Arabidopsis thaliana: one gene and its partner. The protein of the gene in region 1 interacts with the protein of each later gene in a pairwise test. Each region holds a gene or a part of one and is shown on either strand. Other genes may lie near its edges.

The links.
Region 2: the proteins of AT1G24050 (region 1) and AT4G30330 interact in a two-hybrid assay, tested with the Arabidopsis thaliana proteins (one large-scale study listed by BioGRID).

The regions. Positions count from the first base shown.
Region 1 is NC_003070.9:8,504,846-8,509,492, forward strand, and holds AT1G24050 (RNA-processing, Lsm domain-containing protein), read left to right. Parts: upstream 1-2,122; 5' UTR 2,123-2,211; coding exon 2,212-2,365; intron 2,366-2,471; coding exon 2,472-2,637; intron 2,638-2,732; coding exon 2,733-2,813; intron 2,814-3,297; coding exon 3,298-3,421; intron 3,422-3,552; coding exon 3,553-3,594; 3' UTR 3,595-4,064; downstream 4,065-4,647. Other genes in the region: AT1G24030 (Protein kinase superfamily protein), read left to right, coding at 1-8, 111-350; AT1G24040 (Acyl-CoA N-acyltransferases (NAT) superfamily protein), read right to left, coding at 949-1,908.
Region 2 is NC_003075.7:14,836,041-14,839,967, reverse strand, and holds AT4G30330 (Small nuclear ribonucleoprotein family protein), read left to right. Parts: upstream 1-1,818; 5' UTR 1,819-2,048; coding exon 2,049-2,090; intron 2,091-2,181; coding exon 2,182-2,208; intron 2,209-2,323; coding exon 2,324-2,386; intron 2,387-2,858; coding exon 2,859-2,937; intron 2,938-3,031; coding exon 3,032-3,077; intron 3,078-3,185; coding exon 3,186-3,195; 3' UTR 3,196-3,420; downstream 3,421-3,927. Other genes in the region: DGK7 (diacylglycerol kinase 7), read left to right, coding at 1-352, 459-541, 644-714, 813-890, 974-1,061, 1,149-1,265, 1,345-1,503; AT4G30320 (CAP (Cysteine-rich secretory proteins, Antigen 5, and Pathogenesis-related 1 protein) superfamily protein), read right to left, coding at 3,650-3,927.

The DNA of each region.
Region 1 (4,647 bases):
TGCTACAGGTAAAATGGACCTTTTAGGTTCTATGATTCACAAACACAAAAAGTTCAAAGATCAGGAAACTTAACATAGGAATAAACTGATCAATTATCTCTACGTTTCAGGTTAGGAATATACTGAATGATAGAAAGAAATTGCGTAAGGTTATAGATGTCGAGCTGCCTCGGAATTCATACAGCATGGAAGCTATAACCATGTTTGCTGATCTAGCATCACGGTGCATCCGTATAGAGAGTAAAGAGCGACCTTCAGTGATGGATTGTGTTAAGGAACTGCAACTAATTATCTACACAAACTCGAAGGGTGGTTTGGGTGGGACGATTCCTACATTCAGAAGGCTCTAGACACTGAATTCTTCGAAACAAGTAAAATGGATTACTGTCATTTTTCCTAAAATGAGAGGTCACTGATAAAAAAACACTTGATAAATATAAACAAACAATACTAATTATGAATTACCGGATAATTTCAATTCAACTTCCAGCTAGGAAACTTTGATCAAGCGATATTATTTGGATATATATACTATAATTTCACTAAGAAAATCAAGCACTAGATGTATCCGTATAGTATGTTGTATTTGCTGCTATGAATGTTTTGCTTTAAGAGAAATGAGTACATAAATTCAGGGGTGTAGTCTTGTTTTTTCTTTCCTTCTTTCGCCTAATGCCTAAAGAATTAACCACATGTCTATGAACAAGAAATACAATCGCTGCCAATACAGGAAGCAGATAACAAAGATAAGAGTGTGTGTGGAGTACCTCTACTAAGATCATATAAACAATAGGTCGAAGCAAACGGGATTATCAACCCGACCCTTGGTCATGTCACATTTAGCTCCTACATAATAAAGCCAATCACAATGTTTGTTATAAATTCAGAAAAGGTTGAGAAGAAGACTAAAAGCTAATTGGTACACTGATGGAAAAACTGTACCCATGTTTACACATTTGCAGAGGAGGTCAGCTCATTATCAGACCCCACCATTTCTACTATAGGATTGGTGCATAGTGGAAGAAGTTTCTTCCGCATCAAATGCTTACGCCGCTGTAACATCAGAAGGACCAAAACTGTATCTGTCTTAACAACCTCGTATCCTGCCTTCTTGTACATATTGAAAGGAGCCTCATCAACCATCCTACAATGCAAGTATACATCTTTTGATGGACTAATCTGAGATATCAGTTCCTCACTCGCCTTCAACAAATGCCACCCAATTCCTCTCCTTCTAAGATCCTCTTTGACAGTCATGTTACAGATATAAGGTGATTCCTTAGGAGGAGTTGGAGAAGGAGGAGAAGCATTAGCGCCTCGTTTCTCCAAACAAACCTCAACAGTTCCAGCCATCACAGCCTCCTCCTCTCCATCATCACTAAACTCATCAACTTTTTTCCTAAAGAAACCAACTAAAGTAACTGCGTGTGGCAACACTTCTCTTCTCTCAATCAAATACTGCTTAATCAAAAACCGTAACACAGACTGATAACCAGAAGGTAATAACATCGATTCACCAAATGACTCAGCCAATAGATGCACCGTTGAATCCATCTCTTCATGTCTCATAACTCGAACCCACATCGATCCAGATTCAAGCTCTTGAAAATACGCAAATCCTTCAAGAGTTTTAAGCTTCTCTAACTCATCGTTACTCAAAAACCTCCCGGTACGAAACGATTCCTCTAGAAACGCGTAATTCCCGGTCGATTTAGAGTTTTCTTCTCCAGTTTCTGTAGCTGTCGAAACTGAAGAAGGAGGGAAAGCGAATCTGAGATTGGAGCGGTGAGATTTACACGAGTAGAGTAATGGATATCTATGTGAAGAAGACGAGAAGCCAAACTTCGTTGATTGGGTTGGTTTGAGAGAATCAACAGAGAAAGCTAGTGAGATGCTTAAAGCCGCCATTGACACACACACACACGATTTTCTCCGATTTGATTGTGGTTCAGTGTTCGCTAATCTGTTTATAACGAAATAAAATGGATAAAGTAACAGTCATACACTAATCTTTAAAACGCCGCGTTTTGAACTAATCATGAAGCTCAGTAGTTATTGGGCCCTTATGGCCCATATACTGATATAAAAATGAGGAAACTGTTATAAGCCAGTAGCTATTTGGGCTTAAGGCCCATATTGCGATATATATAGTTTTAATTTTTCCGAAGTTCGGCGATTTCAGAAGACGGAGGAGGAGCGAGGACGGCCGCCATGGATCCAGCAGGAGCATCGGTGGCCAGCGCAATCGGAGGAGAAGGAGAGAAATTCGCGGTGGGGAATATTTATTCAGTGAAGGTGATCACCGGAGATGAGTTCAGAGGGATCGTCATGGCTTACGACCCCATCCCCAACTTCGTCTTTTTTGATATCCTTAATTTCTTTAATTGTTTGTTTCATCAAAATTTGAGATTTAGGTATTTTCAATGTCTTGACCTGAATTGTGTTATCCTTGACGAGTTATTGGTTATTACAAGAGGGTACAAAACCTAGACCTGGGCATTTGAAGAACACTCGGATGGTGAATGCGAGTTTTATTACAGGGCTTTCGTATTTAGGCAAAACTGAAGATCCACTTGATTCAGACAACTTTTCTGTTGATCTTAATGGTCTCCGAGCTAAAGAGGCACTTGCTATCAGGTGATAAGATATTTTGTTGTTGAATCCTTTCAAAATGCAATTTTTATTGCTATTTGCTTGTTTTGAGCTTACTTGGGAAAACGTATTGAGCACAGGCAAGCGGAAGCAGATGCTGAAAGAATGGGAGTTGGTGTTACCGCTGAGGCTCAGAGCATCTTCGACGCGTTGTCTAAGACGTAAGGATCTTCTCTTTTTATACGTTTTCGGATCGAAAAATAAGCTAATCTCTAAGAAGGAAACACAGCTTAGAGTATACGGTAGAGAGGTGGGACGAGATCGTAATCTAATGTTGTTTAGTTGAACTATTAGTTCTTTGTAAACAATTGCTTGGGTTGGAGGATTTTGTTTTGTGCGTCTAATGTGTTATTCCCAAAGATAAATTGTTAGGATCTGGACATGATTTAGTGTTGTTTTGCTCTTGGTTTCCGGTGATGCTAGTTTGCAACTATATATATGTAAAGTTTCTATGTTTGTGGTTGTTGTAGATTACATATGTTGTGGGCTCTAGTGTCAAGTATCTTTAGTCTTCTTTGTGATACTGATACAGTTAAGAAGCTGTCTAGATACATAGTTTTAGACTACATAAATCCTTAAACTTTCTTTGTTTGAATTTGCTTTTTCTCTTTCGAATGAATCACATGTGAATTATTTTCCTTTTAGGCTTCCTGTGCAATGGGAAAACTCAGACATTCTGGTGATGAAAGAGGTACGCGTTCGTAGCCCGTATCTTTCAGATTGTGTCTTTGGAGGAACTGATGCTGCCAACAACCGAGTCAAGAAAGTGGTAAGCGTCACTTTCAGTTCATTGTGTAATGCCAATTAAGCCTCTGGTGTTATATTAGTCATTTGCATTCAATCGTGTAACGTTGATCAAGCCTTGGGTGTGATAGTAATGCAATTTTGCTTTTATCGCAGCTTGAGCTGGAAAGACGAAGGTTGCAACTCTTTGGCACATGAGGCTAGTGAAAAGAGTCGGTCAGTGAAATAGCGAGAAAGGGTTCGTTGCTACTAACCCGAAAGGCGTCTATAGATCTGATCGACCAGCGAAAAGCGGATATGTTTGCTTTTCGCATGTTGTTGTCTTTACTTAGAATCTGCTTGTCCTTGTAAAAGCAGATTAGAGATTTCTTGAGTTACAGCCTTACAGGGATTGAAATTTGGACTAATTTCACCCTGGTTATTGACAAGAACAGTGAGGTCTTGTCTTGTCCACTTTTTACCAGGGCTTGGTTTATTTATCGCCTGGAACTGTAAACTATTCTGAAATGTTGAACTACTTTTTAGTGACTTCTCCGGTAGATTTTTACATCTCGTGTGCTCTAGAACTGAGTTCCTTGATCAATGCAAAAGTTATAAGAAATATTTTTCTGTTGATTGTTAGTATTGAACTGTGTATAGATTCCAATGATGATCATAATAGACCGTGGTGATGTATAAAACCATCTTATTCGATACACAACATATACAACTATGGACACAACTACTTTGCGTTTGGGTGATCAAGCGTGAGCTAACTTGTTGATTAGAAACCAACATTGATGCTACATGCGAATGAAATTTTACGTTACGACTAAGCTAACTCTGGATAAGCGCTTGCATGAGGAGATGGAGATATAACAATGATCACTCAGGTTGCTTGATATCATTTGAATCAAAGCTTTAAGAATGTTGTAAATTGAATCCAAAAACTAGTAAGACAATGTGTTAATTCAACATTGGAACTTATAAGTATCATAGATCGACGCGAGAGTTCTGCTTCTAACAGATACTTATCACCAAAACCTTAACCTATCTTTAGTGCAAAACACCACTAAACTATGAGCCACAAAAATTATTAAGAAGGCAACAAAAACCCTACTAAGAAGCCAAAGGAAACAATCCACACACTTGCTTCTAATCTTCTACTTGTTGAGTATTTCGCTGAGATTGAGTTGCTTTCTTTAGCAATCCACTACTAACACAAGCCTGAAAACACAACCATTTACCAGCAAGAAGACACCACCACAGCAA
Region 2 (3,927 bases), on another chromosome or scaffold:
TGTCTCGGTGAGCTTCATAAAGATGGTAAATCACATATTCCTCCTGTTGGAGTTATACCTCTTGGTACAGGAAATGACCTCTCCAGGAGTTTTAGTTGGGGTGGTTCATTCCCTTTTGCTTGGAGATCTGCTATGAAAAGAACATTACATCGAGCAACTTTAGGTTCCATTGCTCGATTAGATAGCTGGAAGATTGTAGTGTCGATGCCATCTGGAGAAGTCGTTGATCCTCCTTATTCTTTGAAGCCTACAATAGAGGAAACTGCACTTGATCAGGCTTTGGATGCTGATGGAGATGTACCTCCTAAAGCAAAGTCTTATGAAGGAGTGTTCTACAACTACTTCAGCATAGGTTTGGAATTTGGATACATGAAGTAACTTTATCTTTCATTGTTCTTAATAAATTTCTACAAAGTTAAACCTTTTGAAGTAATTTGGTATTTTCTTGTGTTGTTTAGGTATGGATGCTCAAGTTGCATATGGGTTCCACCATCTTCGCAATGAGAAACCGTATCTAGCTCAAGGCCCTGTTACAAATAAGGTTGCTATATATCAGAATCTTCATTCTTGTCTAAGTTTCATTAATTAGCTGTTTTTTTGGTTTGTAATGAGATTATGAATCACACTCGTTTCGGTTTTGCAGATTATCTATTCGAGTTACAGTTGTACTCAAGGTTGGTTTTGCACGCCTTGTGTCAACAATCCAGCTTTAAGGTTAGCATTTTCTGTGAAGAGAGTAAACCAAAAGCCTTTTCTTTACTCAATTCCTGTCTCTTGTTGTGTTGACATGTTGTGGTAAGATGAATTTGCAGGGGACTAAGAAACATTATGAAAATCCATATTAAAAAGGCAAATTGTTCCGAGTGGGAAGAGATCCATGTTCCTAAGAGGTTCATATAAAACTAATCTTATCTTTGATTAAAACTAAAAAAATGGCTTCACTTATAATCTCTCTGGTTTTGTTTTGGTGTAGCGTAAGATCTATTGTGGTGTTGAATCTTTATAACTATGGAAGTGGAAGACATCCATGGGGTAATCTCAGACCAAAATATTTAGAGAAGGTAATAATGTTTTATTCAGTACACTAATCTTAGGTTTTATTGCTTTCTCTACAAGCTTTAACAGAACGTGTTCGGGTTTTATAACAGAGAGGATTTGTGGAGGCGCATTGTGATGACGGACTGATAGAGATCTTCGGTTTAAAGCAAGGTTGGCATGCGTCATTTGTAATGGCTGAAATTATCTCAGCTAAGCACATTGCTCAGGTACAACAAAATACATCCAAAGTTTCTTTATAAGAATCGGTTTAACCTCGGTTTGATATTAAACCGTTTATCGTTTTAGGCGGCTGCGATTAGATTTGAACTAAGAGGAGGTGATTGGAAAAATGCATTCTTGCAAATGGATGGTGAACCATGGAAACAACCGATGAAGAGTGATTATTCGACTTTTGTAGAGATAAAAAAGGTTCCTTTTCAATCGTTAATGATCAATGGCGAATGATCGAGGAAACTCTTTTCAAGAAGTTGTAAAAGGATTAAAAAAGCATGATTCTTTATGTATTTCTGTTCCATCAATTAGTCAAAATAGTGATCTATGTTGAGCTTTTGCTACGGCTGTTGTTGTGCTAGTGAAGCATTTAACTTTGTGTATTTTATCAAAAAAAGATGGTTATTTATTCAATAGTCATTAATATACAATTAAGATATAAGCAATCATCTTCAGGTAGACCTTGAAATCTTGTAAACATGATTTTGCTGTCTTTAAACTCTGTTTCTTAAGTCGTTTTTCAGTGTTTTGGAGATAGTAGTAATGGGTCTAAAAAGTTAAATAATGTTTTTGTGGGGAGAAAAATGAAAATAGCAGATTTTCGAGGATGGGAAGAGTAAAACATATATTTGAGAAGTCGAAAAGTGTGAAATATTTGTTCTGTCTCGCGAGGAAGAGAGAAAAATCGAATTAGAAATTGCAAGTTTTAGGGTTTTAGAAAATCTATCTTCTTCACTGAGTTTTCCAGCTCCGAAGAACACTTGCAACTTCAGGCAATTATGGCGAGCACCAAAGTTCAGAGGATTATGACTCAACCCATTGTACATTCCTCGATTTCTGTTTACTAATTCGATCTTTTTTTTTTTTTATTGTTTCTGTTTAGCTCACTGTTCTTCTTACTTTTGATTTCAGAATCTGATTTTCAGATTTCTCCAAAGTGTAAGTTTTTCGATTACTCTGTTAATTTTCGTCACTTTTACTCTATTTGGGAACACCATTGAGTTTGTGAGAGGTGTGTACTTATATATATAGTGTGGTTCTTCTTATAATGTAGAAAGCTCGGATTCAGATTTGGCTTTTTGAGCAGAAAGATTTGAGGATTGAGGGACGAATTACTGTAAGTCATAATCCTGTTTCGAGCTTAGCACAAAATTTTGAACTTTCTTGCTTTGTTGATAGGTTAAACTAGAAAATTTGACATGCTTGTGTTAGTTAAGCTGTGTGATTCTAGCTACACTTTTAAAGTGAAGTGTAACATCTTGGAATTTTTCATAATGCTGTTTCTATTTGTTGTTCGAATTTTGATTGCTACGCTGATTTAGTTACCGTTGAGTTTATATACATTGTTTGATAGTAAGGGACCAATTGATAGCAATGAGTTCGGTTATTTCGGTTGGTGCGTATTATCTAGATTTAAGACTGAGATTGTATTGCTAGAATTTCTTTCTTGAGATAATAACAGAGTTTGTTCTTTTCTGTGAAGCTTAAGATTTATCAATGTCTTGGTTGTCTTAGATCTTTAACCACGAGTTGTTTAGTTGACGTTGAGTGTTTCATTGTTTCGTTATTTTAACATTTGCATTGTGCAGGGTTTTGATGAGTACATGAATTTGGTGCTGGATGAGGCAGAGGAAGTGAGCATCAAGAAGAAAACCAGAAAACCACTTGGTGAGTTACTTGCTACTCTCCTACAAGACTCCTTTCACATTTCTTATATTGGTTTTGTTTTTGGTGCTAACTCTCGCAAATACTGGATTTTCAGGTCGGATTTTGCTTAAAGGAGACAACATAACTCTCATGATGAACGCGTAAGTATCATTATTATCCTCTTCAGATCCTTTCTTTCCCATATCTCTCAATTCGTCTCTCCATGAATGTTGAGATACAAACTCAATCCCTTATATATCTTATTACAGGGGCAAGTGATGTCTGTTGCAGTGCAAGGAATGATCTAATTATATGGAATGGTTTAAGAGTTCCTGCTCCCCTCTCGTTTCTCTGTTGGGTAAAAGTTGTCTTTTTGCTGTTTACTTCTGTCAACTTGAGAAATTTCAACTTTGCAAACAAAATTATGAGAAAATAGTTTCATCAAAAAAGACCTCAAATCCAAGAAGATTGTAGAAATGTCTAATATTTGTCTATTTGGTTAGATTACGATCCAAAATCTGATATTAATATGATTCGTTGGTCTTATTAGTCAAAAGAAGGCCCTCGCATAAATCACACATAAGAAAATGTTGGGAGAAACATACGTTGTGTTGTTTTCCCGATCTCACGTTACCAATAAAAAATAACATTGTATACAAAAAGAGAAAAAGTTAAAACGTAAGAACAACCTCTTTTAGCATGAGTTTTTTTAGATATACAAATAAAATCATACTCAATAAGGCTTCCTACCAAGAAAATTCCCCGGTGGATCATAATTGCAAGTCAAGAATACGCCTCCTCCGCCATTGCAGATCACGTGAGCGCAACCAATCTTTTGTGTGTTCTTCCACACGATTTGTGTGTAATGGCCACACATCTCGGAGTTGCACGAGTTAGATCTATAGTTATAGCTCCTTGCTTCAGACAACCATCCATAGGCGGCTTGAGATGGACCCCATCTATTGCCTGAGCCCCAAAAGAGATTCTCACCATAGGGTCCATTGGAATGGG